4 linked regions of the Caenorhabditis elegans genome follow. The protein of the gene in region 1 interacts with the protein of each later gene in a pairwise test. Each region holds a gene or a part of one and is shown in the gene's direction. Other genes may lie near its edges. The genes, in order: fln-1, daf-14, rev-1 and unc-33.

Region 1 (7,035 bases):
TACACGGCATATTAATATTTTTGGAGTATATCTACCTGCTGGCGATCTCTTTCCATAGTTATTTTCATTATTGATTGAAGTTCGGCCACTGACGTCTGTTTCAGCTGCCACTCTAAGAGTTTGACGAGTTTCTTATCAGAGGTGAACAGTCATCGGTCGAAAAGTTGCATATAAATAACCCACGCTTTCCTCCCGTTCTCAACACCAAATTTTTTTGGTATTTTCCGAAGAAATGTCGTGAGTGTGTTTGTGGCATGTGGCATCAAAATAAACATCTATATGTGAGAAAATAAATGAGTCAATGCAGTTCATGATACCAAATGTACCGAAGAACACCCCCACAAACACCAAAAGCAATCACATTTGCATATCTTGCCGCGTCGTCTACTCTCGTAAATTCTAATCCAAAAGAATTGCATTTTAACGCATTCTCAACATCGTGGGCGGCAAAGTATATGTTTTCGGCAATTTCCAAAAAAGGAGATTTTGGTTTTGCAATTTTGTTCAAAATTTAAAAATGCAAACTCCAGCGCGTTTAAAAACAGGATTACTGTTAAATTTTTGAAAGAAATCATTAAAATTCCAAAATTTTACTTTTTTCCGGCAAACTGGTAATTTTTGCACACCACACATTTTTGCCTGACATTCTTGCCGAACGTCTACCGATTTGCCCTTGGTGAAAATTTAGGTAACGCGGGTCACTAGGTTGATCCTTTTCTCCATTTCCTCCCGCAACAAATCTTCACCTTGTTCTCTCCCCCTCTGTCATCTTACCTTCTCATTCAAAGACGCCTAGATGACCTTGAAGATGTTATGAATGTGTTGTGGAAACTTCCGAAACTTGTACATTTTCCAGGATTTGGCAACTTTTTTGTTTGAGTCACATTTTCACTGTTTTGTTCTTTCTATCCGGTCTACAAAAGTGTCAAATTGAAACAATAGACGAATGTGGCAATAAGATGATTCAGAATACGAAAATATTCTTGAAGAACGCCCAAAAAAGAAACTTTGTTTTTTTTTTTGCCAAATGTTCCTCCAAACGGCACACCCTTTCATATTTCTATCGAGAATCGTTAAATTTTCGGTTCTAAACGAACGATGCACATGAAAATGGTAATGAAAGTTCTCTTTCACTGTCTGCGTTTGTCGTTCATTTTTAGTGGGTGTGAAATAGGGAATAAGGTGATAAATTTTGAGAATTGATCATCGCAGTGCCCTTTCTCTTCTTTTTGGACTTTATATGGATACCGCAATTCCTTCTTCAATTGACTCGAGTTTTGACTAGATTTTGGTCAACATTTTAAAGTGTGTTTTTTTTTGTAATTTCGAAACTCGAAAACAGGAGTACGCAGCCATTGCCGACCGGCAATTCTACAAAATGAGACGGTCGAGCATGTTCTCCCGATATTTTTCATTGAAATTTAATTATACATAGAAAAATATTTGCTTTATTTGAAACAACCGAGAAAGTGTTCAAAAATTGTCCGAAAGTTGAAAATTTACGTTATTTTTCCGCAATTTATAAAGCAAATGTTTTTCTATGTATCATCAAATTTCAATGAAAAAAAGGGAAACAAGTTCACCACCTCATTTTGTAGAATTTCCGTGCACCCCAGCTCGAGACTTTATATTCTGGTAGAATGGGCATTTCTCACCAAGTTTTCTTTTAAGTACAACGTTGCCGTTTTTTGTCGTTACCGTATTTCTATTTCTATCCAAAAGATTTTCAAATTAATTTCCCATGTCTTTGGTCTTTTCAATTGGCTACAGTACCCCCCCCCCCCCCTAAAACAATTCTTCCATTTGTACCAGAAGCCGTCCATCCGTGTCTATATTCGTTTGTTCTCTTTGTATTATGTGTCTTTTTCCTACACAAAAAAAATGAAATATGAATCACCATGCACGCGTTTTCTTCAATTCTCTTAGCTTTTCGTTTGAACAAAAACTCTGCTTTCGATTTTATTAAACTTGAAGATTGAAACAAAAAAACTTCAGTTTTTAGTTTTCCAGGATGTTTAGTTTGTTATCTCGTTGATTTCTCATCGTAAATATGGAGCAACTAAATTTTTTATACCATCTCAAAATTCCAACTATTGCCAACTTTACGTGCCACAGCGGCCGGAAATCAGGTTTTTGTTAATTATCACTATTTTGCGCATTTTAGATGTTTATTGTGGGGTTTTCATTAATTATTTTACATTTCAAGTCGTTAGGTGCAGTTTAGACAAAAAAAACCAATTTATGTGCTTATTTACTGAAAATGTACCATAATCAATTAAAGGCAGAGTACCGAAATCTGAAACAATATTTTTTAGACCAAAAATGACCCAAAACTACCGAATTTCGTAATGAGACGTTTTGAAAATTTCTCAAAAAAGTTATGGCGGTTCAAAGTTGTGGAAAAATTACCATTTTTAAGCTAAAATCTCAAATTTTGGCAATTTTCGCAGAGGTTACTTAAATTTTATTTAAAAGAAAAAAGTTTTCATTGGAACTTAATTTTTATTCAATTATCACCTTTTAATGCATGTATTCGCAGTTTATTACGTGTTAAAAATCATTAGAAATGTCGATAGAAAAGAATCGACATTTCTAATGATTTTACCTTTTGGCCGTACGATTTAAATCATGTATTATTCTCTCATTCTCACGCTTCTTTATCAATACCTTGATTTTTGCAGAAGCGAATAATATAGGACTGCTAGAAAACTTGCAATAATCAACGTCTAAAATGGCGCAACCAAAACGCCTTGACCAGGAAGAAGAGGTATTTATTTTCAGAAGACTATACAACTTTCTAACATAAATATTTTCAGGTCGTTCCGGCGATCCGTCACGATGACGCCGAATGGAAGATCATCCAACAGAATACATTCACCAGATGGGTCAAAAATCATTTGCAAAAGGCTGGAGAAACTATTGAGAGTCTGGTGAGTTTTGGATTACTTTATTCAGTGATTTTATATTTATAATTTCAGGAAACTGATTTCTCGGATGGTCTCAAGCTTATTGCATTGGCTCAAGTTCTCTCCCACAAGAATGTTGGAAAATTCAACAAGAAAGTGGCATTTCGTTCACAGAAGCTCGAAAATGTGTCTCTTGCGTTGAATTTCTTCCAGAATGAAGAGAATATTAAGATTATCAATATTGGTAAGCAGTCCTTCACTGAAATCCTGAAAAATAGTATCGTAGAAACGATATATTTTCCTTTTTCGAGACTGCTCCGCGCGGTGAAGCAGTTCAAAAGGACGAATCCGTAGTTCAAACATGTTTTTGTTTGTTTTCAGTGTATGGGAGCTCTCGCCCGAGCACACGGAGTTCCCCTTTCCTCTATTATTACGAACAACATAGGTTGACCACCGTTTTTCGCAACAAAAATACCCATTTTCGGGACTTTAAGCCAATATTTCGACGTGTCAATTAGTGTCGTTTTTAGAGAAAGAATTTCGGAAAAACGGCCACTTTAAAAAACATTCAAAACACTGAATATTTCAATTTTAATTTACAAGTTAATGTTCATTTCGATACTATCTCTTAAAGAAAATCTGAGAAATATTTTCAATTGACTCCAAATTTTTCCCAGATTCTGAATTTCTATGTGAAAAAATTCAAAAAAATTTCCCTGATTTTATATCCAATAAGGATTAAAAATATCTCGTAAATATACAAAATTGTCGTAAATCGACACATGGCGTCTCTGGTGCGAAAATTCGTCGTTTGAAAAATCAGGGAATGTTTTGTGAATTTTCTCATTTTGATTTCAGAATCAGGAGAGAGAACGACAAAAAAAAAAAATCACAAGGGTTACTGTATTTTTTTGCGTTTTAATTCTTTACCACACGAGCTTTACCGAAAATGTCTCGAACTTTTGACAAAGTCTGATTAAAACCTGACTTCTCAATGTTTTGGCTCAATACAGAATCATTCAAACATTTTAATAGTTATATATTCGGTCACCACAACCCATTTTCTATTTAATTGCATTATTTTAAATTACAGACAGTACTCATATTGTGGATCATAACAAGAAATTGATTCTGGGACTCGTTTGGACATTGATTCTCCATTATTCAATTTCGATGGGATGGATTCAAGAAAAAAGAGAAGATGGAGATAATAAGGAGGAGACTCCGAAGCAAAAGCTCCTCAATTGGATTCGTAATCGTCTTCCAGGTACCATTTCGAATTGCAACATTTACTCATCACCCTAAAGTTTCAGGAATGCCGATTTCCAACTTCACTTCCGACTGGAACGACGGAGTTGCTCTCGGTGCACTTGTCAATTCGATGGCTCCAGGAGCACTTGAAGACTGGGAAAATTGGTCGCCAAATGATGCTCTGGAGAACACTGAGAAAGCCATGAAGTCTGCTCAAGATTTGCTTAAAGTTGCTCCACTCATTGCTCCAGCTGAGATGATTCATCCGGAAATTGATGAAATGTCTGTAATGACATATCTTTCACAGTTCCCTGCAACAAAACCAATAATAATGAAGCCAAAGGTTCAAGCGACTATTTCAAATTTGGACAAAATTCTCCAAGTCAATGATCCTAGAGAGTTTGATTTGAAGCTTTCTCGTGATGGATTTAAGCCGAAAGTCTCGATCCGAGATGAAGATGGACAGGATATTCATTTGAGTCTTAAAAAGGTTGAGGATAAAGAAAACGCCTACAAAGTCAAGTTCACTCCTACAAAGATTGGATTTATCCACGTGGATGTAGCCGCGAACGATGTTCACACGTTTGAGACTCAGACCATTCCTGAGGCTAGCGTCATTTGTCAGGTAGAGAAAAAATTTATATATAATCTGAATTTGTTCTTCAGGTTGTTCCAATCGCCCGCCTTCTCGATTATAACAAAACCGCCAAAGTCGGAGATGACGTCAAATTCGCCGTGGTCGACGCCATTGAAGGTCCTGTTGAAGCAATTGTTGTTGATCCAACTGGAAAAGAGCACCGAATGGTTATCTTGGATGGTACATCACCAGGAGAACATTCATTCGAATACAAAATTCCGTGTATTGGACTACATTCAGTCAATGTTTTCCACAAGAAGCTCCCATTGACCGGATCGCCATTCCCACTGCGTGGAAAACCAAAGAGTGCGTATATTTATAAATATAAGAATCGAGTTTCTGGATGCACCACGAATTCAAGATCTGGTGGAATTAGGGATCTGGCACAAAACACAATTTTTCTCAAAGAAAAACGTGACAACTGCTCCATGTTGCGTGTTGTTAAGCATATTTTCTTGAAGAGAACTTTTGAAGAAAACTGTTTTTTCTTCGAGAAAAATTGCGTTTTATGCGTTGGCACGGTGACAGATCCGGAATTCCACTAAATCTTGAATCCATGATGTCTCTGTTTCTGTATTTCAAAAAAGTAATGAAATTGTTTTTCAGATTCGTTCAAAGTGTGGGGACGTGGAATTGCTCCAGAAGGAATTCGCAAAAATGATGTCGTTGGTGTCCACGTTGAATCGTTGGATCCGGAAGAAAATATCGCCAACGCAAACATTTCTTTGGAAGTGTTGAAACCGTCGGATGGTTCTCATCTACCAGTTTCAGTTGGCTACAATGACGAATCTCAGTCAATGGATTTCGAATATTCGCCAAAGCAAGCACCTGATGATCTAGAAGTACTCGTTAAGGTTGCTGGTGAAGTCATCGAATCTCATAAGATCCATGTGGCACCGGAAAGCTCTTCGAAGATCAGAGCATTCGGAGCAGGACTTGAAGGCGGAATTGTAAATGAGCCATGCGTGTTTGATGTGGAAATGAATGGAGAATCAAAAGATCTATCATTTGCTGTTGAAGGACCATCGAAAGCGGAAATCGGATGTCAAGAGAGACCAGATGGTAGTGCTATTCTATCCTATACACCAACTGTGGCTGGAGTTTACAAAGTTGGGGTGCTAGCCGACGGAAAGCATATTCAGGTAACTAAATATTAAAATAAGATGAAACGCTTTAAATTTAACATGTTTTGTTATGGCGTTATTCATGTAGTATTGGAAAATTAAAAGTGTAGAAAAATGACGTCACAACTGTATCAAAATACATGTTTTTATGTATTTAATGGGGTTATTCAAGTAATGTCGGAAAATTGAAAAGTGTAGAAAAATTACGTCAGAACTGTATTAAAGTATATAAAACATGTATTTAAATACATTTGTGACGTCATAATTGTATTTAAAAACATTTTGCAGAATTACTTGAATAATCGGCTTAATCATGTGATGGTGAAAAATGCGAACATGTATTTTAATACATTTTCCCCCTATTCATCAGTGTCGAAAAATGTAGAATAATGCAATCATTTTTGCATATTTCGACATTTGTCCGCATTTCTCTACATCGGCCGCCACCCCACTTCAAATGCTAAAAACAAGAGACGCAGAGAGATATGTCCCCGCAGGAAAGGTTTTCTCTGCGTCTCGTTTTTAGCATGTGAAGTGAGGTGGCGGCCGATGTAGAAAGAATGCGGACAAATGCCGAAAAATGCAAAAAATGATTGCATTTTTCTAAATCATATGAATAAATAAGCCCATGACCCCACTACTAGTAATAGCTCTCCAATCGACTGATAGTTAACAAATTGAAAGTTTTTCAATTTCAGGATTCGCCGTTTGTTCTGCGTGTCACTGAACCAATCGAAGGCCTAAAACCATCAGCAACTCGAGTCACTGGTATTGATGAATCGAAGGTGTACAACGTTGGTGAGAAGATTCCATTCCGTGTTGATACTCGTCTTTGTGGAGTTGATTTGGTGCCGAAAGTGGAGATTTTGGATCCAGAACTCAATCCAATCAGTTATGGAGCTCGTGAGATTACTCCAGGATTGTTTGAGTATACATTGATTCCCGACGCGCCAATTAAGCACAAGATTGATGTCAGTGTTGCTGGAGTTTCAGTTCCAGGAGCTCCGTTCTCTGTCAAAGTGAAAGAACCAACTGATGCTTCAAAACTGAAGATTTTCGGACCTGGAGTCGATGGACCTGTGTATTCCAAAGAACCAACAAGATTCACAATTGATGC
Region 2 (9,388 bases), 9.9 Mb from region 1:
CTAAAAAGTACTTTAAATTTTTTTTAGATCAGTCAACATTTTGAAAAATTGTCTAATTATCGGATAATTTAGTATGTTTGAGTTACAGTAGAAAATTTAGAGTCGAATGCTCAACTTTCAAACTGTTTTCTTTTGATTTTAACGACCTTTATTTCAGCATCATCGGGCTGGAAAGTTATCAAATCTGAATGCCAAGAATATCACCTTGACCCATTTCGTACAACGGCTTCGTGATAAGGAGTTAGTGTTGGATTATCAAATGTTGACAGCTCCATTTGTACAAAATGGTGCTGTAAATATGATGTCAAAGGGAGAAATCTCATATCGAGGTCAAGGTGGAACTCCCTTCTTTCCACCAAATGTTAGAATTCCACCTCCACATGGTATGAATTATTTCAACTGCCGTTCTAAAAGTAATTTATTTCAGGAGTTCATATGATTGAATTCTATGCAAGTGATTATCTGGCTAATTCAATGTTGTATCATTCATATCGTCAAAAGTTCCTTGACGTCACAGTTGGACCCGAAAGTTCTCCACAGCTTCAAGGACTTTTGCTTACAAGTTGTGGTCCTGCTGGTTTCTGTCTTGGAGAGTTCCTTGGTACACTTGGAGAACAATTCCCGGATAGACAAGTTGAAATTGAATTTTTCGCAAAGAAAGTAGGTTACCTAATATACGATCCTAATTATTTGACACACTTATTTTCAGGCTCCACTAATTGTGTTCATTGATGATAGGTCTCGGTTTAGACTCCATGGAGGTCTTAATATGTACGTAAGACCTTCGAAGCCAAATCAAGTTAAACAGCAGGTACTGATTTATTTGATTCTATGAAACAGAAATTCCTTTTATTTTCGTAAAGATCCTAAAAGCTGACACGACAATGACTGCAAACGTAAACTTGTGGATCAATGGATCAATTATTGTTGGAAACTCAACGATTGAAAATTTGGATTTTAAGGTGAGATGTTTCATCCAATCATCTATGAATCATTCTTACTGAAGCTATGTAATTTCAAGTCGTACGACGTACGCCAAATATTATATGTTTTTATGTGTTTTTACAAATGGTAATTTAATCGAAACGTAAATTATTAATAGGCCTTTAAAATCACCAGAAAGCTCAAAATTGTAAAATAAAGAGGTTACGTAAAATGTAAATAGGCCCAATCTATCCCAATCTTCCACACTAGTTTAAAACATTTTGGGTTAAAGATGGAAAAATTTGAACTTGGGTAAGACTTGAATGCGATTATATGATATTTCACCAAGAAAATTGTCACCAATTTATTTTTTTGGAAGCCGGCCTGGATGTTTCAGTTTTGAGGTGCTAATCAAATTGTCATATTTCAGCTCCTTGAAACAAAAATCAACGATGTCGACCAAGATTCATTTTCCGACTTGGGATTATTTGGTGCTGAATTTTTAGAGAAGCTTCTCACTGAAATTCTTCAAATGGGAATTGCTCTGCCAACCATGCAAGGTGTAATTCTGAAGAGTCCAAAGTGAGTTTGAAACGAGCTCTATAATATGAATTTATTATAATTTCAGATTAACTTTCCACGATCGTTATCTGAAAGTTTCAACATATTTCAAACTTGACGAGGAATACGCAGGAAGTCTTGTCAGAGGAGCTGTTGGAAAAACGTTACGTGGACCATTGTGATGAATGACAAAGTTACCAAAAAACAGAAATATCGATATTTAGTTACCGGTTTATATGTACATTTCGAGAAAAGAATACTGATGAATATATAATAAATAAGTTATTATCTGCGAAACTGTTTGAAGAAATAAGGACAGTTTTCATCTCCGTAATTTGCAAAACTGCAAATAAAATTAAATATTTGCAAGGGACCAAAAATTGTTTTTTCTGTCGAATGTATAATATGAGAGTTTCGATTGAACGTGTCAAGTCTTTCATAGAGATTCTATTCAACAATTCAAACAATACTTTCAATCGAACAGGTATCATTTCATTCGTGATCATTCATTTCAATATCTTCTTGATCGTCAAATAAACTTATCTTTTCAACGTTTAACTTTCGTTCACATTACCAATGTACTTTTCTCATTTTTCTTTTTCTGTGGTTTTTAATCATTTCTCTACTGGCCAAGCTCCACCATTAATCTCAATCTGACAGAATATTATTTTGCTGAATTACAGGGAATCTTCAAAACTGGATCCAAATTATTTGCAATCGAGGGTTGTCCAACTATCGAATAATTTGTTATGATCAAAATTCTAGTCGTTTTTAAAGGTACAATTGGGTCTATTACTGGCTTAACAACCTGATGTGCATCGTTTAGTAATGTCAATTCGTATTTATTTGTCTCATATTGAACCCTTCCTAGTCACGCCACTTCACATAAAACCATCACCATGGAGTCATTGCGTTTCTATGTTTTTCTGCTCATTTTCTACTCTTTCTATATACTTTTGGATGTGACTTGATCATCTAAAGTCTCGCTTTTCACACAATTGTTTTTGACTTTTTCATTCAAAGTGCAAAAATTGTGTAGTAGATGTTTGATTTGTTACCTGTTATTCAAACAATCCATAAATCGGCACCCTTCCGTTTATATTTTGGAGATTTGTTGTTTCGAACACACATTTTTTTGCAGAAACATTTATAATGTCCAACGAACAAGAAGATTTTGGATCACTTTTTAACAACCAAGGAGAGTTAGGAATCATGGACGATTTTGCCGAGTTTGGGTAAGTAAGTTTTTAAACGGGTGATGCTGATAACATTTATAATCGTACTTTTTACGATGTGTCAAGATGTCTTAACCGTGCAATAACAGTTGTCTCTGCGTCTCAATTCCCGCATTTATTGTAGATCATATGGGACATGGAACAGCCTGACACCACGTGATTTTTCCGATAATAGTCACATTCAATTATGTTTACTTCTGTTTTTTAATGAAAAATAATTTGTAATTTTTCCGTGTCAAATAGTTTCCTAACTCCCGGCTGTTAACAAACTATTATAAAAGTCGCTCAAAACTTTTTTCAATGCAATTTTAGTTATGTAAACTTATAACAAAAGTAAATTAAAGGTGACTGACTATTTTTAGTCCAATATATATACCAATGTTGACAGGGTTTTACAAACTGGAAGCTATTTTTGATGATTCAAGCTTTTTATTTCAAAAATCTGTCTGACTTTTCTGGACTGCTCTACTCTATTGAAACTTTAAACTCAATTTTACAAAAAACAAGTAATTGAACTGTTTTCTCGGCTTGAAAAAAAACCTAGAATGTTCCAATTATTAGGCAACACCACTAAGTTATATCAGTAACTTCAACAAAACGTTTCAAACCAAATAAGTTTTATATTTGTCCAGCACACTATCACTTCCCCCGTAGACAGTGAGATGGAAATATATTGTTAACCTGACTGACTCGTTCCGACTTTTATAAGACAAGATGCATATTTCTCTCTCCGCCCTGTCTACGCATTTCTGTGTCTTGATCTTTTGAACCAAAAAGTTTACAACGGATGTCCTGGGGCGGAAACAATAAATACCTCTCTTTCTCGTAGTTTGCAACGTACCCGCTCTTCTTGAGTTCACCGGAATCAAAACACAATTATTGTATTTGCCCCTGTCTTTTCCTCATTTACATTTTGAAGTTTCCCCAAAAGTTCAGTATCGTGGTTTGTTACTCAATTTGCAATTCCTAGCAATTTTTAAAAAATTATGAAAGAAGTCCCCAAATATTCCAAGAAATTCAGGAAAATTTGATGAAAAATAGGGAAAAAACCACAATGTTCTCTTTTTAAATTTTTCAAAAAAAATTTTTTGTAAATAATTCGAAGTTTAGACTCCAACAGGCACAATCAAACAAACATCTAAAGCCGAAAATTATGATAATTTGTTTATCTCTACGAGCCTTTTATGAATCTGATCTCTTAACCCAATAAACGAATAATATCTTCTTGATCTATCTGACCTTTTCGTGTTACTGTTCTCGTCTCTTTTCCTGCAATCGGCAAATATTTGAGCACAGCGCAACAGATGGACCACACTTTGTAGACAGAGCCACGTTGCAGTGTTCTAGAGTCACACTATTTTAGGGGTTTTCGGTATGGATTTTTTTATCGATTTTTTTAAATTTATTAATTTTTATTCAATGAAATTTCCAATGTTGAAAAACATTAATTTGTTGGAAAGATGAAAAAATTAAAATTTCAGAGGGTAACTAAAAATATTTCGAATTTTATTTCGTAACTACCCCTCCTCGAACTATTCTTCTTCCGAACGGTAATAACGAACCTTTTGTCATCTTTCCCTAACCTTCTTTTGTTCATTTCTCTTATTCATTCAAAGTAGTCGTCATTGAAAATACAATTCAGATGACGTTCTCAACCTCGTCTTTTTTTCCATTTCCTTCTATTTATCGATCACGTGCTATCGTTCCCTATTACGCGCTCACTCCAACTTTTTTCTTCCTGTTAGGAGCAGAAGCTCACGTGTTGCCGATGCTCTGAGTATATTCGTTCTCTATTTCTCTCCGTTCTCTCTCTCTCTCTCTCTCTCTCTTCTCTCTCTTTTTCTCTCTTTTTTCCCATTTCTTTCCTCCTTTCACTTACATTTGTTGTGACAGAAAACACACACATACATACCCTAACGCTCACTCTCGCTCCTCTCCTCTCTCGTTTTTCCTATCTAGTTCTCAAAATATTTCTCACGTCTCTTCTAGTTCCAATACTATTTTTTTAACCGTCGACTTTTATAAACTGATGTCAGAAACGAGCGCAATTCCAAAAAGAAAGAGTATGACTGACGTCAACAAAGGTGAAAGTTCTTGATCTGTTTCCAATACTCATATACATATATTTATTTCAATTTTCTTCAAAAACTCTATATTTGGTTCTATTCTGCCAGATCTAGTTTTTAAAAAGGAACCATAGTTCGTTCCCGAATATGAAAAAAAGTTAAGTAGCAACATTTAATTTACCGCATCATACATTATCTAACATTAGATATATAGTTGAATACACTTTTTTCAAGAACGAGACAGCACCTGTCTGGCAACTTCACGTACACTCTTATGAGAGATAACAATCTAAGGTCGTGAGACTTGCCCTATAACAAGTCTAGTCGACTTTTTAATTTCTTCTAATACACCTGTTATGACGACACGTTGCTAGACTCTGACAATAAGGAAACTAGACCTGAAGAAAAAGTGAACATATTTTTTAAATGATTTTGTGTTTTTCACTTAGAAAATCGAATGATTTCAGTACATTTATTTTTATATTTATTTATCAAATGAATATCCCAAAACTATCTTCCTTCTATAGCATGCTGATAGAGAGCAAAAAAATTTAACTGAACCGATTTCAAAACCTCTAATACGACGTCATTATTTCTTATCTATAGGTATTCTGGCATTATTATGCACTCAATTGACTTTTTCTCTATTTTCACGTCAGCTAATTTCACCAACAACCCTCATATTCGTAATCCTTAGATAATCCCTTCCTTATAGGATCTCATTATCTCATAATTATTTCATTTTGTATTAATATCAAAGCCAACCGACTTCCTTGTTGTTTTGTGTTTTTCTTAACTCGTTTTAAATATTCGACTTTTCAGTTTTCAAACTACAACAACACCCACAAATTGGGCGGCTGCGGGGAATTATATGTACCCAGGTGAGTCAAATTGTAGACATGACAAAGTTATTGGAAAACTAGACAGAAGTGGCTATAACTGCAAAAAATATATTTATAAAACAGACGTTTTCAGTTCCTGATCTCAGAATGCCTCAAATCACATAAAATATAAATATGCTTCAATTTTTTGTTAGAAAACAATTATAAACATGAAAAATATCTTTAAAAATATTTCGTATGATTTCGATGTTTTTCAGACGATTTATTTCCGGTTTGTCATATGATTTAATATGAATCAGAAAGTTCTAAAACGAAAATTATCCAGCTTAAGTCCCTCATCATCCATATGAGTCACCGTGATCACAATCACTTGGGAAACAAGTTTCTGACTAATTTAACATTTGGAATTGAGCTTTTATTTTATTGTTCAAACTGATATACAAAAATTACAGATCAAGTTCACTTACCGGCAAGCATCAATAATCCAAACATGCCAATAAACGACTGGTTGGAAGATGCTCCAATGCCTGATTGCTATAATGTTCCGTCAACATCAACTGATGAAAATAATGATCCGTTTCCATTTTCAAATATGTACGTTTATTTGAAAGTTATACACATTCACATACCTCTTTTTTTAGCTCAAGCCAATCTTCTTTGAAACCAAAAACTCCTGAAAAGGCAGTAGTTGAAGTACGTCCTACTGGAAACGAGATGTTGGATCCTGAACCCAAATATCCAAAAGAAGAAAAACCGTGGTGTACCATATTTTACTACGAGCTGACTGTTCGAGTAAGTTCAAAATTATTTGAGAAAGAATTTCAAAAAACGGATAGCATAACAATGATATATTTTCAGCTAGGAAAAGCATTCGAAGCCAAAGTCCCAACAATTACAATCGATGGTGCAACTGGAGCAAGTGATGAGTGCCGAATGTCGCTTACATCTCAACCATCTTCGAGAAATTCAAAAAGCTCACAAATCCGAAACACAGTTGGAGCAGGAATTCAATTGGCATATGAAAATGGAGAACTTTGGCTAACTGTACTGACTGACCAAATTGTTTTTGTACAATGCCCATTCCTGAACCAGACATTGAATAAGCCACTGAAATATGTGTTTCGGTTGCAAAACAAAGGAGATCAAAAAAGAATGAAAATATTCGATAAGGAGCAGTTTGAACAGGAGAAAACATTGGCTCTCGGACCTTTAACTGAAAAAGAGGTGGCTGATGAACGAATGAGAATCTTCTCCAACATCAGAGTCTCTTTCTGTAAAGGATTCGGAGAAACGTATTCCCGTTTGAAAGTTGTGAATTTACCGTGTTGGATTGAAATTATCTTGCATGAGCCAGCTGATGAGTATGATACAGTGAGTTTTTAAACTTTAATGTAATTTTTCCTAAATTAAAAATATAATATTAAAACACAATTTCCGATAGTGCGGTCCAACTGCAGCTGAAATACCCAAGATCTCTGAAAATGTTGTACACCACTGAGCCGACTACTGAATTTTACTGGCTAGCAATTTTTGTATAGGCTTAAAGTATCTCCATTGAAGATTAAAGAATCGATTTTTTAGCCACCTGGATTCTTTCGGTGAATCAAGGCTATATTTGTTTCCGAAATAAATAGATAAATTAAAAAACTTCATGAAAGACAAATAATTAATAATTATATTCACATTTGTCTTATCCGGTTCTATTTATAAAATAATTAAACAAAATATGACTATTTCAATCATTAAAACAAAAACACAAAAAATTCAACATATGATCTAGTAATGGAATTAACTGTTAAGTGTATGGCATAGTTGAGACCATTTTGAATTTGAATTTGAATTTAAATTTAAACACTTGAAATAACACACAAAATTGTTTCAAGTAATTAAAGTTCCATTAATAATCTTCAGGTTTTCCGTATTAATAACGAACGGCCGGAAATAGGATCCCGATCATGATTGCTTCAATATTTTCACTTCAATGATTGGTTCTAAGCATTCGAATGCGTACCCGTTTGATTAATATTTCCATTTCTGTCCCAGTTTTTAATTTTCATTTCTTTTGGTTAAAAAATTCCCAGTCTCTTGAATGCTTTTCTAAAATCTTTAATTCAATTATTTATTAGAATCTTCTGTTTTGAGAACTTTGTAATGTAATTAAATAATTTGATGAAATGATTATGAATGCGAATAAATTATTAAAATAATATTAATAATACATTTTTGGTGGAAAGGAGAGGAACCTGAAACAATAAATTAGAAATCTGACGACAAAAGTGTCAATTGTGGAAATAAATAAAATGAGATGATCCCGTATGGGTTGGAAATGTCTTTAAATGTAGGATGAGCACAAAACTAAAAGAGCAAAGAAAACAGAGAACATTTTGAGAAAAATTAAGTCATAGTTTAGAAGAATTTCTTGCTTTTACAAGAATCAATAAAATGGAATATGAGTTCACAGCTGGCGTTTGGAGCATACATCTGCAAATAAGGAAAATTAACATGATTGTGAAAAAGTGATTTGATTAAATGTGTCTCTGTTGTAACACCAACAACAGGAATTCACAAAAGAGCACCAAAAATACGTAACAGATAGGCACGTAGTCACTCCTAAATGCCTACCTGTAGTGGCAGCCTTGATTTCTATATTTTAAAATTTACCTGCAGGAAGGGACAGTTGCCTCTCGCCCATTTCGAGACATCTTTGATACTAAAACTCTTGGCCAGTTTTGTTATTTTTGCACAACTCTCTGCGGTAGCTTCCTGCATTTCTTGAGGATTCGATTGTAGAATTGGCTTCAACTTAAGAATATCATGACCCACTTGTTGTTGAACAGGTTGTATTGGTTGGGAAGGTGGTAAAGCCATTCCTGGTGGAGCCAATGGCATTGGCATCGGAGCACCCGGAGGAAGCGGGATTCTCATTGGTTGTGGGGCACCGGGCAATGGAACTGGACGATGAAGCATATTAGTTGTCGAAGAGACTGGAAGAGTCATTGGTCCAGGTACTCGGTATGGTTGATTATATGGAATTTGATGGCGAAGACGTTTCATTGATCTTAATGGAGAAAGATCTCGTGTTGTTTGATGACGATCAGAGTTTCCGATTTGTTGATCGAAACCAGCTTCATCCGAGAAGTCATCAGAAAAGAGTATCGGACGTCTGCGACGCATTCGGTATTCTGAATATTAAGATAACTTTGGAAAAGTGTAAACATACAACTTTTTTTTTGAAACTACTTTACCTAATTTCAAATTTGGAAAAAAAATCTTAGCAATCACTGGAATTTTCCTGAACTTCGGGGTATGACCAAACATGTTTCGTATGATATAAAATTTCAGTAACTACTTCATGCTTTTATTATTTTGAGAAAATGTTTGTTGGTTGAACTATATTCCTTCTTTGCAACATTTTCGCGGAGATAAATATTTTAATGATCACAGATAAAAGGATACATCGATCATCAAGGTTCGATTTCTTCATAAATCGTTGATTATTTGATCTTTAAGTAATCTTTCAGACCATATTGTAATGAAAAATAGTTTAAATTTAATTAAAAGTAATCATATTTCGATTTAAATTTATATTATTGCTTTCCGATAAGAATTTAGTATTAATTTGAATTCAAGTTAAACTAACCTCTTCTCATTGGTCTGTATAATGGAATATCGTCATAATCATCATAAGTAGACATATCATATGGCCTCTTCCGTGATCCTCTGTGATACATTGAATTTGGATAATCTTCTTCATTATCTT
Region 3 (8,520 bases), on another chromosome or scaffold:
CAGTATCAACTGCTCCGATTCCAACTACGACTACTTTGTCGCCGGAGGAAGCCAGAGCCGCAGAAGAAAAAGAGAAGAAGCAAAAAGCCAGAGAGTTGAAAGACTGTAAGTAAATTCGTTTTTTCTAGTCAAATATAAAATCACGTTTCAGATTGTAAATCATACCGGAAGTCTGCTTTCGAATGGTTAAAAAAGAACAAAGACAAATGGCCAGAAGTGATGTCTGAAAACATGTACCCACAGAATGTTGATTACGCAGCAGAGATGACTGGTGGATGCTCTGGTTTCGCATCTAACGTTCTCAATTGGCCTGAAGATATGATACTTGGAAATCCAAGACGTGCCAAGAAGGGAGGAAAACTATCAGGAGCTGATGCTCTTCAATCCGTTTTTCTTGTTGCAAGCCCCGCCGATGTTTTCCTGAGATTCAAGCAGAAGCCTGGAAGAAACTCTATGAAGACTGGATTAGACATGGATGCATGGAACGAAACCGCTGCTGAACAAGTTCTTCAAGCATGGCAGAGAAATTTCACCAAGTCACTTTACAATCATAAGGCTAACGTTGATGAGGATGGAAACGAAAGAAGAACATTGCATCCACTTGCATCGACATCCATTGCTGATATGCTCGAGGAATTCTGTCAATTCAACTATACCATCATCCTTGCTGGATATGCTCTCATGCTGGCATATGCTATTGTCACTCAAGCTCGATTTGACAACTGCCTTCCAGCTACAGAATCATCAATGGGCCTCGCTCTTGCAGGAGTTCTCGTCGTCACATTCGCTTCAGTGGCAGGTCTTGGTCTCGCCACTTGGTTTGGAATAGAATTCAACGCTGCTACAACACAAATTGTACCATTCCTCACTCTTGGAATCGGTGTTGATAATATGTTCATGTTATTGCACAACTATCGTGACGTTGTTAAACTTGCTGGCGGACACGCTGAGATGGCTATCCTGATGCGTGAAACTGGAATGTCAATTCTGTGCACTTCGATCAACAACATTCTTTCCTTCCTCACTGGAACTCTTCTACCAATTCCAGCTCTGCGATCATTCTGTGCTCAGTCCAGTATTCTTCTCACATTCAATTTCATAGCTATCCTTACAATCTATCCAGCGATCATTTCCATTGATCTTCGACGAAAGAAGGCTCAGCGTCGTGATTTGGTTTGCTGCTTGTATGGTGACACTAGAGAAGAATCGTACTCGATGATTTCTAAGCCAAAGATTCAAAGTAAACGAATTATTGGAGCACCTTCGGAAGCTTCGATTATGCAACAGTTCGACGGAATCACTCAAGCGCAGATGGCATCTAGCGATGATCCAGCTCCATGGTCTCTTCATTCATTCATCCGTTACTACTACATTCCATTCATTTCTAAACCAGCATCTAAAGTAGCAATCATCGTTGGCTGCTGTGCTTTGCTCGGTGCATCATTTATTGGAATGCGTCAGTCGACACTCGGTCTTGAATTGGGAGATGTTCTTCCAGAACATACTGCACCTGCACAGTTCTTGAGAGCCAGAGACAAGTACTTCAGGTAAGAAGTTCGTTTATGATTCAAAAAAATATTTTTTTCTTTTTTCAGTTTCTACCCAATGTTCGCTGTCATCAAGGGTCCTAACATTGATTATGCTCACCAGCAACGCCAGATTGACAATTACCGACAGTCGATTGGATCTTCAAAATATGTGATTAAAAATAAAAACGAAGAGCCATCAGAAAAGTATTGGCTGGGATTAATGCGAGACTGGCTCATTAGTATTCAACGCGGATTCGATGAAGAAGTTGCTAAAGGATCATTCAATCTTACATCTGGAACAGTTATTGGCAGCAATGTTTCCGAGGATGCTCGTCTTGCTCATGCTCTTATGTGCTCTCATGGTTCTCTATTTGGGTGTGCTGGAAGAGTAGGAAAGATTCGACTAGTTGATGCAAGTGGAATTATCAACTCTGATGGATTCTACAACTATTTAACAGCATGGTTCAATGTCGATCACATGATGTACTATGTATCTCAAGCTTCTTTCTTCCCAACACCACCAAAATGGGAATTGAGCAAGAATCATACCGAAAACTTCATCCCAGCTGCTGAGCCACTTGCATATTCGCAGATTCCATTCTACTTAACTGGCCTCACGGATACCGCTGTGATTGTCGATGCCATAAAGGACATCAGAAGTGTTTGTGAACGATTTACCGATCAAGGACTTCCAAATTTCCCACAAGGAATCGCATTCACATTCTGGGAACAATATCTTTTCTTGACTGGAAATCTTATGCAAGCCATTTCGATCATTACCATCTCTGTCTTCTGCGTCATTTCCGTTCTTCTTTTCAATCCATGGGCTGCACTTATGGTTGTTTGTATTCTCGGAATCATGACTTGCGAACTTGCCGGATTCATGGGACTCGTTGGAATCAAGCTCAATCCGGTTTCAGCCGTAACTTTGATCACCGCAGTTGGAATTGGAGTCGAATTCACTGTTCATGTGGTTGTATCATTCCTGACGGCGCTCGGAACAAGATCTCAACGGACGTCATCTGCAGTTGATCGAGTTTTTGTCCCAGTCATTCATGGATCATTCTCCACACTTCTCGGTATTTTGATGCTTGGATTCTCAGAGTTTGAGTGAGTTTTACAGAAGTATGGATGTCATCAGAATGTTTTATTTTCAGATTTGTTGTCAAGTATTTCTTTATTGTCATGACGGCTCTGATTTGCATTGGAATCATAAACGGACTCATTCTTCTTCCAGTTTTATTATCTTGGTTTGGCCCAAGGAGAGAGGTAAAATCTAAATTTTGTTATTTTTCTTGTATACATCTTATTTTTTTTAGATCTCTCCTACTGGTGGAAAGACAACATTGACCCTGCCACCTCCTTTGCCAAAGAATGCCAACTCGTCTCGATCTGGCGGCGATGATTCTGATGAAGATGACGAGCCGAGTGGTCTTGTGATGTACTCAAGACAAGCACCCCCAACGACGAGGACATCAGGAGGAAATCGAGGAACAGTTGGAAATAACACACGCCGATTGCCAGCTGTATAGCAGTAGTAGTTCGCTCCAAGTTTTTGGAGCTTAAAAACTTACAAAAATGTAAAAATGGGTAAATTTCTTTCTGATGAATGCAGAGCATTGTGAACTTATCCTTTTTCCCAATGTTTCGTTGTCATATTTTCTTTTAAATTATTTTTGTCTTTTCTCTCTTTCTAACGGTCGACTACACACTTTCTGGTGATCTTCCCATGCCCTGTATAACACTTTTATAGTTATTATGTTGATTTTTTCACTGAGATTTCCAAGATATAGGCAATTAACATGATCACTATAAAATTGACACTTTCACACACTTCACCATTTCTAGCACCCAATTAACAAATTCAAAACTGAAAGAATAGATTTTGCGCGGTTTCCAAACGACAAATGCTTTAATCTGTTATAGTATTATTTTTCTTTATTTTCTTGCATCCATATCGATGAATATTTTGGCACCCTCGTTTTCTTTTTTCTTTGGGTATTTATTGCCACTTCTCAATCGAAAAAAACATGCGCATAATATTTACTCCGAGTGATAAAAGGGGAACGGTACAATTTAGAGAAAAAAGTACAATTGACATATCTGTATTGTTCACCTTTTTGTATTGCTTTCAATTGCACCCACTTGGTCTTTTTCGCCGTTTGTTTTGTTCCCCTCTGTGAATGATCTCAGCGAGCTTTGGGAATTTAATTATTTTATTAGCACCAGCCAAGATTTTTCTCTGCCCCTCTCGATTTCTATTGTCCCTTCGCCTCATCTCCAATTTTTTTGTTTCGAATTTTTTCGGATGAATAAACTTTTTCTAACATGAAACATACATTTTATCGATTCTTATTTTCAGAAAATTTTAGTATGAACTGTGAGAAATTATACTTGTCGACAGAATTACGGTTAAAGACGCAATTAATCAGAAAACAAATATTGATTCCAGAAATCAATACAATGAATGATGCATTCTCCTGACCCATTCACCGATCATCCAGATTCAGATGATTCTTTTGAAAAGTTTGTTCCGACTCCTAATGTGAATCGACGACGAAGTGATGCTATAATTGTTTCAGATGAGGTATTAGCTGCAAATATATCGAAAAGTTCGATGGAATGTCGAATAATTTCAATGAAATCGTTAAATTTAGTTTTCAAAAATATTAAATAGCTATTTTCAAAATACTTCTGCTTTCTTTAAGGGTTCATTCGACGGAATAACAGGATATTCCCAAGTAACAGTGATCGAAAATTGTCCGAATACTACTGTACTAGAAGATGAAAATAAACGCGCAAATCCTGATGATACAATAACTCGAATGCTAGAATCCAGTGACGAAGAGGATGAAACTGAAAATAATTCTGATAATGATGCACTTGCTGATCTTTTAAAATCGTTCAGAACGGAAGATCAGAAAAGAAAAGAAGTAGACATTGAACAGGCAGCAAATATCAGTATAGACATATTTGGTGATTTAATTGAAGAAGTTGACTCAGAACATGAAGCTGCTGAATATCCGGATAGAGAAGGTGGAAATAGCATGGATAAGCAAGGAACAATGCTACCGGTTGAAGTTCCTATTCAAAATAATATCAAACTTATACCAAGAAAGGTATGTAGAAATATTAAAACAATCGTTAATATTCTAGATTACAGCGTCGTCTAGAACCAAAATCATATGATTGTGAACCTTCAACATCCGCTGCACATGGCCCAGTTGGTGTTGTTTCATCAGATAGTGGCGAGTACTGGAATCAACAGAAAACCATCACCATACATGGACAAAATTTCGAAATAAATAATTTTGTGAGTTTTTTGCCCAAAACACCAAATCATTTACTATAAATAAAGTTTTTCGTTTTCACGTAAAATTAAAAGTTTCATTCCAAATGTGGACTTTTTTCGAGCATCGCTGTATATTCGAAATCCTAGAATATTTAAATAAAAACTATCGAAACCCAAATTAAATTATAAACTCGTAAAGACAATTTTCTGTCCGACTTCCAGTATGGCCTCTCAGTTTTCAAAACACGCTTGACTGTAAAGAAACAACTTTTTTGAAAAGTTTTACTATGACATTTGGACAGTTTAGCACTTAACTGATAATAACCCACAGGAAATAATCATTTTTTTCAGAATGACTATATGCGGATGAAGATCACTAAACTTAACCATCAGGTGAATCATGGATATGCGAAACCACTAGAGAATGTGTCTAGAATAATGGAAGGATTCTCGGTATTTGTGAATGGTTATACAGGTAATTTCATATTCCATAACTTAACGACTGATTTTACAGTTACTTATTTCAGATCCACCAGCACTTGTTATCAGAGATTTGATGATTTCTCACGGAGGTGAATATCACTGTTATTATCAACATGGAATTACTTCATACACGATAGCTTCCTCAATTGCTACAGCAAAAATAAATCGAATTCGAGAAAATGAAATTTTCATTAAAGCTGATTGGATTACGGAATCGTAAATATAATCAACCCGATTCTTCCGATTAAACCAGTATTTCAGAATAGCTGCTGGAAAACCACTCGATTATCGAGATTTTTTGATATACGAGAAAGGTTCGGTGGAAAAGGGACAAATGCAACAGTTTCTAACAATATCAACTAGAAACACCGGTGGTAACAATGAAACAACTTCATCGAATCAGTTCTCTGATGCCCGGAATCCAAACTTTATTCGAGATTACTATGCCAGAAGTCGTCTTCATTTGATTTCTACTCTCGCGCAGGATATGAAAGATTTTGTGGCAAATTTGAAACTGGAAGGAAAGCTAACGGAAAAGTGTTTTGAAGAGAAAGAACTCATCGATATGAAGTCTCTTAGCAATGAAATTTCTCGGGAAAGTACAGTATTCCACGTGGATCTAGACTGTTTCTTCGTCTCAGTTGCTGTCAGAAATCGAATTGATTTGAAACACAAAGAAGTTGCCATCACTCATAGCAAGGTAAATCAATTTAAAAGCTTCGTGTCAAACTATAAATCTTTCAGGGAACTATTTCGAATAGCATGAGCGAGGTGGCTTCTTGCAGTTATGCAGCTCGTGATTGTGGAGTCAAAAATGGTATGCTCGTGAGAGATGCTCTACAAAAGTGTCCACAATTAACTCTATTACCATATCAATTTGAGGATTATGTGCAAGTTAGTCGGAAAATTTATGAAATTCTGGCTAGCTACACATTGGAGGTTCGTGCAGTCTCCTGCGATGAAATGTATATAAACATGAGCAGTTTTTGTGAAAAATACGAAATCAACGACCCAACAATTCTCGCTGAACACATCCGTAAAGTGATACGAGAGAAGACTCAATGCCCAGCCAGTGTTGGAATAGGATCTACGAGCTTGTTAGCAAGACTTGCAACAAGACATGCTAAACCAGATGGAGTTTTTTGGGTTAATGCACATAAGAAAAATGAATTCATTTCCGAGGAAAAAGTTAAAGATCTACCAGGATTTGGATACGAAATGATGAATAGATTAACTTCATTCTTTGGTAATTCCAGTATCTAATATAAAAATATCAACTTCTCAGTTTTACAGGTGATATTACAAAATGCCGTGAACTACAATTAAAAACTGAACGGGAACTTGTACCTGTATTCGGACCAAAGTTGGCTTCAAAAATATTACGACAATGTCGTGGTATTGAAGAAGATCCAGATGATTTTTGGGCTACTCATGTTCGAAAATCAGTATCATGTGATATCAATTATGGTATTCGTTTCACGAAGGTAATGTATTATATTAAAATGTCCGTATAACGATGGAATATTTCAGAGAGGTGAAGTTATTCAACTCATGACAGCTATTGGAGCTGAGTTAGAACGGAAACTTATCGATAGTAAATTAACCGCAGGATCCATAACTTTGAAGCTTATGGTACGTTCAGCAAATGCTCCTATACAAACATCCAAATTCATGGGACATGGAATTTGTGATACATTTACCAAAACGTGTAATCTAAACGTTCCAACTACACGCGGAGAGTCTCTCACATCAGAAGCTATGAAATTATATGCTAAAGTTTCTCCGAAAGTAGAAGATCTTCGTGGAGTTGGAGTTACCTGTGGAAAGTTGAAAAGTAAATTGAAAAAAGATGCGGCAACGGCAGTGCAAGAGATGTTTGGGAAGACCTCTAGAGTTGGGAATATGGCGAGAACTGACGAACAATTGAGTTAGTATTTAAGTAGTGAAATTTTATTGAAAACATTCTGTATTTTCAGATATTATTCCGCGAAACGAAGATGAACTAGATAAAGAACCTGTGATAATTCCAGCTGTGACTGAAGATCTGGAAGTGCAAAGCATACCTCGTCAAATTAATTTTAGAGTGGCAAATGACATAGATATTCCTGAAATTGTAAAATCCACACTTCTCAATGGACGATCTGACAACAACCTCGAATTGGAAGATTTGGAAGATGATGGATTAGTTGAAAATCGTCTGGCCGAATTGGAATGTATTATTCAAAATGGTGAGATACCCAAAATCTGATGTTTCATGGAATAACTTTATCAATTTTTTCAGAGCCAACCAAGGAGAGTGTTACGAACTTACAGGAAATGCTTTCAACGTTGCTAAACTATGGAAAACTTTCCGCATTCGAGACTGTATTCAGAAAGTTTGAAGAGATTTCGATGGATTCTAGTAGATGCGACACTGCTTGGTTTTCAGTATTCCATTTGATGGTACCATTCATCGAAGAAGAATCAAAAGATCTGCTTGAATTTCCCATAGCTACCACTCGAAATTTGGGAGCTATGATTGCCAGCAACACTGATAACACATCAATTAGTTCACCAGAGCCATTTGTTCCAAAAGAAGTATTTGTAATTGATTCCACTAAACATACCTGAATTTAAATCTTGTAAAATATTGTTTTTCTTTTTCTGTAAAATAATTAAATTAAAATGAATAAATAACATATTTAAGACCATTGAATAAACTTTTATAATTCAAAAAGAGAAGGAATGAATGAGTGAAGACGTGAATATTAAACCAGTAAGAAGACGTCGAGATCAATACAGGAAAGAGCTTGTAATCAGTTTGAAATCCATTCTCAAAACTTTGGAATATTTCTAGGACCATTTGCCAAATTTTCCAGATCAGCGAATGAAAGTTTTGAAGTTGTTGAAACGGAAACGTCTCGTTCGTTTAGATGATCTGAAATTTAAAAAATAGTAACTTTCATATTTTTTTATGAAATTCCCACTTCCCGGAACTGCTTGCACTTGCATTGCGTCTACATTGAATTTTAATTTCCGAAGATGCTGTCGTTGTGGATGATTTGATAGTTTTGACGATGCACTTGTATGAAGTAACTGTAATAAAGTTATGCTATAGATTGAAAACTACAAATTTAAAACTCCATGGTTTTGGTAGATCATATTTTTAGATTGTTCCAAAATTTTAGATTTTCAGACTTACACGAATTTCATCATCCAAACTTTCAACATAAACAG
Region 4 (6,577 bases), 3.1 Mb from region 1:
AATTGACTTTTTTTTTGGTGAAAATTAGTTGAAAACTCGAAAAATATGCTTTAAAAAATCTATAAAATGTCGAGAAAAGTGAAGAAAAAAAAATGATTTTCTGCCAAAAAATCCCAAAATTTTCACGAGAATTGCAGAAAATCATGGGAATTTCTTGATTTTTTCGATAAATCTACAAAAACCAGAGAAAATGAGGAAAAAAGTTTGAGTTTTTGGCAGAAAATAATAAGAATTCTATTGAAAACAAGGAATTTCTGGATTTATCTCATCAAAAATCCAAATTTCGGCAAAAATTAGCAAGAAGCCAGCAAGAAGATTTTTTCGATTTTTCGTGATACATTAGCGAAAAAAAAACAGAATTTCGACGAAGCCTAGCAAGAAATCTTTGTAAATTAGAAGGAAAAACAGGATTTTGTGCTGATTTTTAGTGAAAATCAGCCAAAAATAGCAAAGAATGGCGGAAGTACTACTGAAAATCAGAAATTTCTCGATTTTTTTTAATCCGCGAAATCCCGAATTTCGACAAAATCTAGTAAAAAATCCCCTAGAAAAAGCAATGAAAATCTCAGTTTTTTGCTGATTTTCTCAAAAAAAATCAACAAAGAACGGAGTATGAGTAATGGAGCATCGGTGGAAAAATCGAAGCCTCTAGAATTTTCTAGATTTTCGTGAAAAATCAGCTAAAAACTCAAATTTCGGGACAAATTCACCAAAAATAGCAGAAAATGGCGGAAGCACTACTACTGTACATAAGGATTTTCTAAATTTTTCATGAAAAATCCGCGAAATCCGGAATTTCGATGAATATTAGTGCAAAATCTCCGAGAAAAAAGCAATGAGAATCTCAATTTTTTGCTGATTTTTCTCAAAAAATCAGCAGAAAAAACGGAGACTGTCATCTTATGATTATTTCCTTTCTTGATGAATCATTGTTTGAAATACCGACACACCACCCGGTGTGTGTTGCGAAATAAACAAATTATTGTGTTCTTTTTCAATATAAACACAGCAATACCAGTTGACCGCGGGCGGTTTTAAACTAAAAAAATCCAATCGGAAAAAGATGCGGGAAATTCGAAAAATTCAGAGCTCCAAGCGATCCCCGATGGATGCTTGTAAATCGATAAATCGGGCGGAAACCTCTCCGGCGGACACATTGTAAGCGAGAGACGAGAGAGCGTCAGAGAAACCAATAGTGACCCCCCTCTGCGTCTCTGACATGGTATTCGTGGAGAGAGAATGAGTCAGAGAGAGAGCCGGAGACGGAGAGAAACACAGAGAACACTCCCCGGAGGCTTTCCGCCGCCGCTTTCGGGGCCATCTCACATCGATTTCGTGCCTTTTTGTGGGGATGGGACAACTTTTCTTTGTTTCTTGATGAGCTTTTTTGGATTGTTTAATTTTCTTCAGAGAGTTGCAAGAAATTTCATCTCTAAAAAATCAGATTTTTTCCTTTTTTCGGAAATTTCAGAATTTTATTTTTAGGTTTTTTATTTAAAGAAAAGTTAGGATTTTTCTTCAAAAATTTCTGAATTTTTTCTTTTTTTTGTCAATTTTCTCTAGAAAGCAGCCAGAAAATTGATCTCAATTTTGGAAATTCACTGGAAAAAATTCGTGAAAATTTTAGAAATTTCTACAGCTTTCTTATTTTTTAAATACAAACAATTTTCTCTGTTTTTTGATGTGAAATTTAGTTTTTTTTCAATTTTGGAGCATTTTTTGGGTTTTTGAAGATTTTTTTCTTTCGATTTGCAAAAAAATCGATTTTCTAAGAAAAAAAACATTAGAAAAACTAAAACATTATTTTTTGAAAATACAATATTTTTGTTGTATTTTTAGATTTTTTCCTGCAGGAATAAGATTTTTAGTCTCGTGAGAGAATTCACACTAAAAATTGCTAAATTTACATAAAATATGTGTAAAAAGCCATTTTTTCCGTAGAAAAATTTCAAAATTTATGAATTTTTCTTTAAAATTTGATTAAACCCCTGAAAAACCACTGGAAATTTTGTTTTTTCCCCTCGAAAGTTCCCCCAAAGTCACATTTTGCAAATTTCTAAAGAAGATTTACCACCGCAATTACCATAGTTAATCCGAAAATTGAAATTTTCCCGTCTTTTTTCCTCCAATCTTCATTTTTACCTCTTTTTAACCTAAAAATAATTGAAAAAACCCAATTTTTCGTTACAGAAAGCGCGCAAAATACACATTTATCACTAGAGGAGGGCCAAATAGTTGGCGGACATCACTGGAAAATGTTCCCGTTTTTAGCACCAATTCGATCAGCAAATCATGTGTAAGTTTTGCGTTTTCCGTGGTTTTTTTTTCCAATTAAATCCAATTTTAGAGAGCAACAAGGCACAAAGTACTACGTAGAAATCACATTTCTAGCAGATTCTCCATATTCTAGAGCTCCATCGAGCACTGGCACCGAGAAATCTGTAATTCCAACGCTCAGGAATCTGGATGACCTGGAGACTGTTTCTAATAAAAGTAGGAGTAGTGAAGGTTAGATTAGTCACGTTTTCCCGTAATTTTAAGCGAAGTTTTTGCCCAATTTAGGAGTGAATAAGCTAGGGAGCCGTCCGAACAGCCGAAGCTCGGCAATTGTTAAAAAGACGAGTGTGTCCTCACTGCCAACGTCGGCCCGATCCGAAGGAAAATCCTCTCCGATTCCGGTTAAAGATGCGATTCCGGCTCCAGCGCGGCACAAGAACAAGGGTCTCGAGATGTCGTCGGCAATGATGGTGGGTTTCCCGTTTAAAAAATCAAAATTCTAGCAAACTTGGTGAAAAATCGAATTTTCTAGGAGCTATTTGGTGGCGGAGGCAGCACGTCACCAGCGCCATCAAAACGAGAAAACCCAGCCGACGCGGTGAGTTTAAAAATTTTTCTAACTTCTAATGTCGCAGGATACGAAAAGTCGCAATGTTCAGGGCAAAACCACGTTGATTTACGAAAAATTTGATAAAAACTTGTGTTTACAGTAAAAAATTCTAGAATAAATCGAAAACATCCCGGAAAGAAAGAAGAAAAAATGAAAAAATAAAATAAAATAGAAAAATAAATTCAAACGTGTCCTACAGTAATCTTTGAAGGCGCATCACAATTTATATAGTCCAGGTTTCGCCACGAAAATTGTTTTTCTTTAGTTTTTAGGATTTTTGCCATTATTTCTAATGTTTTCTTGACTTTATATGTTAAAATAATTTTTATATTCCAATTTTCATTAATTTTTTATGTCAAATATACCAAAAACCAGGCAAAACTCTCTTAAACCTTCATTATCAACTACCGTAACTTTAAAGGTACACATCACTTTGCGAAACGTGGGTCTCGACGAGTTTTGTTTTTTTTTAGTTATTTTTTTGAAATTTAAAAGCCCAATTTTTGTAATTTCTAACCGATTTTCCTGCAATTTTCTTCAATTTTTTTGATTTTCAGCCATCCGATCGTGTTGTAAGCAATGCTAAACTCTCTCAGCCTGGCCCAGAATGGTTTGAAGGGTTCGAACAGATGGATATGACGGATATTGGTGAGAAAATCAGATTTTTCGAGAGAATTTGTGGTTTATAAGCCACAAATCTGTGTTTAAAACCATTAAAAATGTAGAAAATAAGTATTTATTGCAGAATTTTTTACAGAACTACCCCCCGACCCGAACTGCCCGGCGGAAAAGGTGTTGCGCGGAGAAAAATCGACGCCAGACTTCGATTCGGATTGGCAAGAAGCGAAAGAAGACGTTTTAGATCCTCAAAGCTACCCGAAAAGCTTCAACCCCGCCGAATCGCTTCCCGGTCCAGATATTGGCGCCGGCGTTGACGATGAGGAAGAGCCTGAGGCTGAAGCTCAAGAAATGGAAGAGGTTCGTGATTTATTCACGAGTTTTCCCATTTTTCTGTGTCCTTTCCATCAATTTTTGATATAGTTTAGCAAGTTTTTCGCGGCGTTTTGTTTGTTTGTGACGGAGGGAGAGAGAATTGTTTGAACAGATGTCACCTGGAGAACAATTAAAAAATTAATGTTCACTGTAATTGTTTGAAAAATCGCGAAATTTTGAGCAGAAAAAAATAGAAAAATGGTGAGAAATTCAGAAATTTCAGTGACAATTATAGGTTAAATGAATTTTCAGATTTTTTAAAAGAAAACCCCGATTTCAGGCAATTTGTTCCTAAAATAGAAATTAAAATCTAGTTTTTTTCCACATTATTGAGCAATTTTTGCTCCAACTGCCAATTATATTGCACTTTTGTTAATTTTCCAAGCGATTTTTAGTTAATTTTTTTCTCTAAAAAGCTCTAAATTTCCTAAAGCTGTCAATTTTTTTGCAAAAAGTGTAATTTTCCACTTTTCGTGGCAATTTTCAATAATTTGGCTCTAAAATAACGTTTTTAACACAAGAAAAGTCAAATTTTTCACAATTTTGAAAATTAGCTCTAGAAGTACAGTATTTTGCAGCAAAAAGCTCTTTTAATACAAATTATAAATTTCAGGCGATTTTAGCCTGAAAAATCTCCAAAAAAGCTCAAAATTTACTATAGAACTGGTAATTTTTATTGCAAAAAGCTTATTTTTACAACTTTAAGAGTGATTTTTTTCAACCAATTTCCCCAATTTTTTCAGCCAATTTTCTCTCTAAAAGCCCTAAAAATAGCAATTTTCAGGCAATTTTAGCTTGAAAATGGCAAAATTTAAACATAAAAGTGTTAATTTTCTATGTTTTTACCCAATTTTTACTCTAAAAAGCTTTAAATTCCTATAAAATTGTCAATTTTATTGCAAAAAGCTTCTCTTTTCTTCATCCTTTATCTCTTACTTTCTCCAGCCTCAATACGAATCGAAAGTGGACGAAAAAGACGACGACGACAATGGCTCTTCTTCCTCCAAAAAGGGTCATCCTTCCGAAGACGGAGATAGTACAAGAAATGGAGAGACGCCGACAGACCGACGAAATAGTGGGGCGATTGAAGAGACGGCAGACGGTGAGAGCTCTGCGCAGTCGGCTGCTGAGAAGAAGAATAGTGGAGACGACGGCAACGGAGGCGGCGGTGAAATGTCGATTTTGCTCGTCAAAAATGCTCAAATTGTCAATGACGATGCGATTTTTGTAGCTGATATTCTGATTGAAGATGGAATTATTCAGTAAGTCGGATTTTTGAGTTGAAAATTGAATTTTTCGGTCAAAAATTGACCTCTTTAATCGGAATTTTGAGCAATTTTAGTCCAGATATTGTGAATTTTCGTAAGATTTTTGTGATTTTCAGCTAAAATTTGTGAATTTTTATGAAGTTTTTTTGCATTTTTAGCCCAGAAACTGAATTTACCGCGAATTTTAAAATTTTCATTTACAAATTGTGAATTTTCATGAGATTTTTGTGATTTTAAGAAACAAAAAAGCGAATTTCAAGAATTTTGAGCTCAAAATTGAATTTTTCGGTAAAAAAAAGAGGTTTTAAGCGAATTTTCAGCGATTTGCAGCACAGAAATTGAGAATTTGTCTGAATTTGTAAATTTTTGAGTTAAAAATATAGTTTTTCCCTGGAAAATTGGTTTTTAATTTAATGTTGAGAATTTTTTAGTCTAGAAATTGTGAATTTTTCGTGAATTTTCAAGAAATTGATTGAAATTTCTGTCCCAAATACGTTTTTTTTTCTCGGAATTTAAAATTTTTATAGATTTTTACTTTTTTAAGCTAAAAAAAAACTTTTTCTTGTGAAAATTATATTAAAACCAGCCCAATATTTGGAGCTTTCAGGCCAAAAAAAAAAAAGAATTAAAATATTTTTTCTACAAAAATCCCATTTTTAACATTTTTTTCTATTTTGAGTTCAAAAATTTATTTGTTTCCCCCAATTTTCCAAAAAAATTGTCAATTTCTTAGTTTTCAGCCTCATTTTCGCTCAAATTTCGCAATTTTCCGATTCTCGAACCAATTTCGCAATTCTCCTACGCCTATTAAGCAAACGAATGCCAAGTTTTTTCCACGGAATTTCGCAATTCTCGTAGCCATTTTAATTGAATTCCTTCGCAAAAAATGGGGAAAAAGGGACTTTTCGTTGGAAAAAATCGGGAAAAAATGAGTGAAAGTGCCCGAGTTTGGGGGAAAATCCGGAAAAAAGTTGAAATTTTGTCGAAAATCTCTAAAATTCACAATTTTACCGCCGAAAATTAGTGTTTTCGCTGAAAATTTTGGGAAATTTGCCGAAAAAAGTGCTCATTTTCGAGAAAATCCATTTTTTGTTAAGGTGGCCTAGTTGTCTTGCGGCCACGGCCACTGATCCTCTTGTAAAGACGCCGAGCACCCGATTATTCGGGACTTTTAGCCTAAAGTTGGGTTATATGGCCTAGAAACGGGATTTTTCTAGACCACGGATCCAGAAGAGGCCTTTACGGCAAAAGGTCAACCCTATGACGTCATGTTGCACACATTTTCTCGATTTCTGCTCGATTTCACATCAAATTTGAGTGGACCCATGCGAAACGCGATACTTGTTTCCTCTTACGAGTTGTACGCCTCTGCGTCTCCTCTACTCGTCCGTTCTCTGATTCCTCGTCCGCCGGAGAGCCAAGTCTTAGC

What was found.
Region 2: the proteins of fln-1 (region 1) and daf-14 interact in a two-hybrid assay, tested with the Caenorhabditis elegans proteins (one study listed by BioGRID).
Region 3: the proteins of fln-1 (region 1) and rev-1 interact in a two-hybrid assay, tested with the Caenorhabditis elegans proteins (2 studies listed by BioGRID).
Region 4: the proteins of fln-1 (region 1) and unc-33 interact in a two-hybrid assay, tested with the Caenorhabditis elegans proteins (one study listed by BioGRID).

The regions. Positions count from the first base shown.
Region 1 is NC_003282.8:371,709-378,743, reverse strand, and holds the start of fln-1 (Calponin-homology (CH) domain-containing protein), read left to right. Parts: upstream 1-2,731; coding exon 2,732-2,767; intron 2,768-2,816; coding exon 2,817-2,930; intron 2,931-2,978; coding exon 2,979-3,150; intron 3,151-3,999; coding exon 4,000-4,173; intron 4,174-4,213; coding exon 4,214-4,782; intron 4,783-4,823; coding exon 4,824-5,100; intron 5,101-5,140; exon of another isoform or gene 5,141-5,223; intron 5,224-5,400; coding exon 5,401-5,936; intron 5,937-6,616; coding exon 6,617-7,035.
Region 2 is NC_003282.8:10,248,009-10,257,396, forward strand, and holds daf-14 (Smad-related protein daf-14), read left to right. Parts: upstream 1-2,618; 5' UTR 2,619-2,637; coding exon 2,638-2,720; intron 2,721-5,608; coding exon 5,609-5,667; intron 5,668-6,080; coding exon 6,081-6,222; intron 6,223-6,269; coding exon 6,270-6,420; intron 6,421-6,486; coding exon 6,487-6,999; intron 7,000-7,539; coding exon 7,540-7,587; 3' UTR 7,588-7,844; downstream 7,845-9,388. Other genes in the region: F01G10.10 (BPI2 domain-containing protein), read left to right, coding at 158-383, 428-660, 710-811, 864-962, 1,355-1,506, 1,553-1,667; F01G10.9 (aECM cysteine-cradle domain-containing protein), read right to left, coding at 8,035-8,109, 8,290-8,810, 9,269-9,388. UniProt on the Caenorhabditis elegans protein: Probably an atypical receptor-regulated SMAD (R-SMAD) that is an intracellular signal transducer and transcriptional modulator activated by TGF-beta-like daf-7 signaling.
Region 3 is NC_003280.10:7,896,648-7,905,167, forward strand, and holds rev-1 (DNA repair protein REV1), read left to right. Parts: upstream 1-3,974; 5' UTR 3,975-3,999; coding exon 4,000-4,116; intron 4,117-4,237; coding exon 4,238-4,648; intron 4,649-4,692; coding exon 4,693-4,842; intron 4,843-5,172; coding exon 5,173-5,296; intron 5,297-5,348; coding exon 5,349-5,520; intron 5,521-5,565; coding exon 5,566-6,004; intron 6,005-6,048; coding exon 6,049-6,550; intron 6,551-6,597; coding exon 6,598-6,788; intron 6,789-6,834; coding exon 6,835-7,231; intron 7,232-7,280; coding exon 7,281-7,532; intron 7,533-7,585; coding exon 7,586-7,914; 3' UTR 7,915-8,020; downstream 8,021-8,520. Other genes in the region: ptc-1 (Protein patched homolog 1), read left to right, coding at 1-105, 152-1,547, 1,596-2,639, 2,687-2,798, 2,849-3,061; best-23 (Bestrophin homolog), read right to left, coding at 8,118-8,221, 8,271-8,379, 8,486-8,520.
Region 4 is NC_003282.8:3,514,631-3,521,207, forward strand, and holds the start of unc-33 (Protein unc-33), read left to right. Parts: upstream 1-2,255; coding exon 2,256-2,296; intron 2,297-2,347; coding exon 2,348-2,508; intron 2,509-2,562; coding exon 2,563-2,747; intron 2,748-2,809; coding exon 2,810-2,875; intron 2,876-3,444; coding exon 3,445-3,535; intron 3,536-3,644; coding exon 3,645-3,865; intron 3,866-4,825; coding exon 4,826-5,142; intron 5,143-6,577. UniProt on the Caenorhabditis elegans protein: During neurogenesis, plays an essential role in axonal guidance and outgrowth by regulating the polarization of both microtubule and actin cytoskeletons.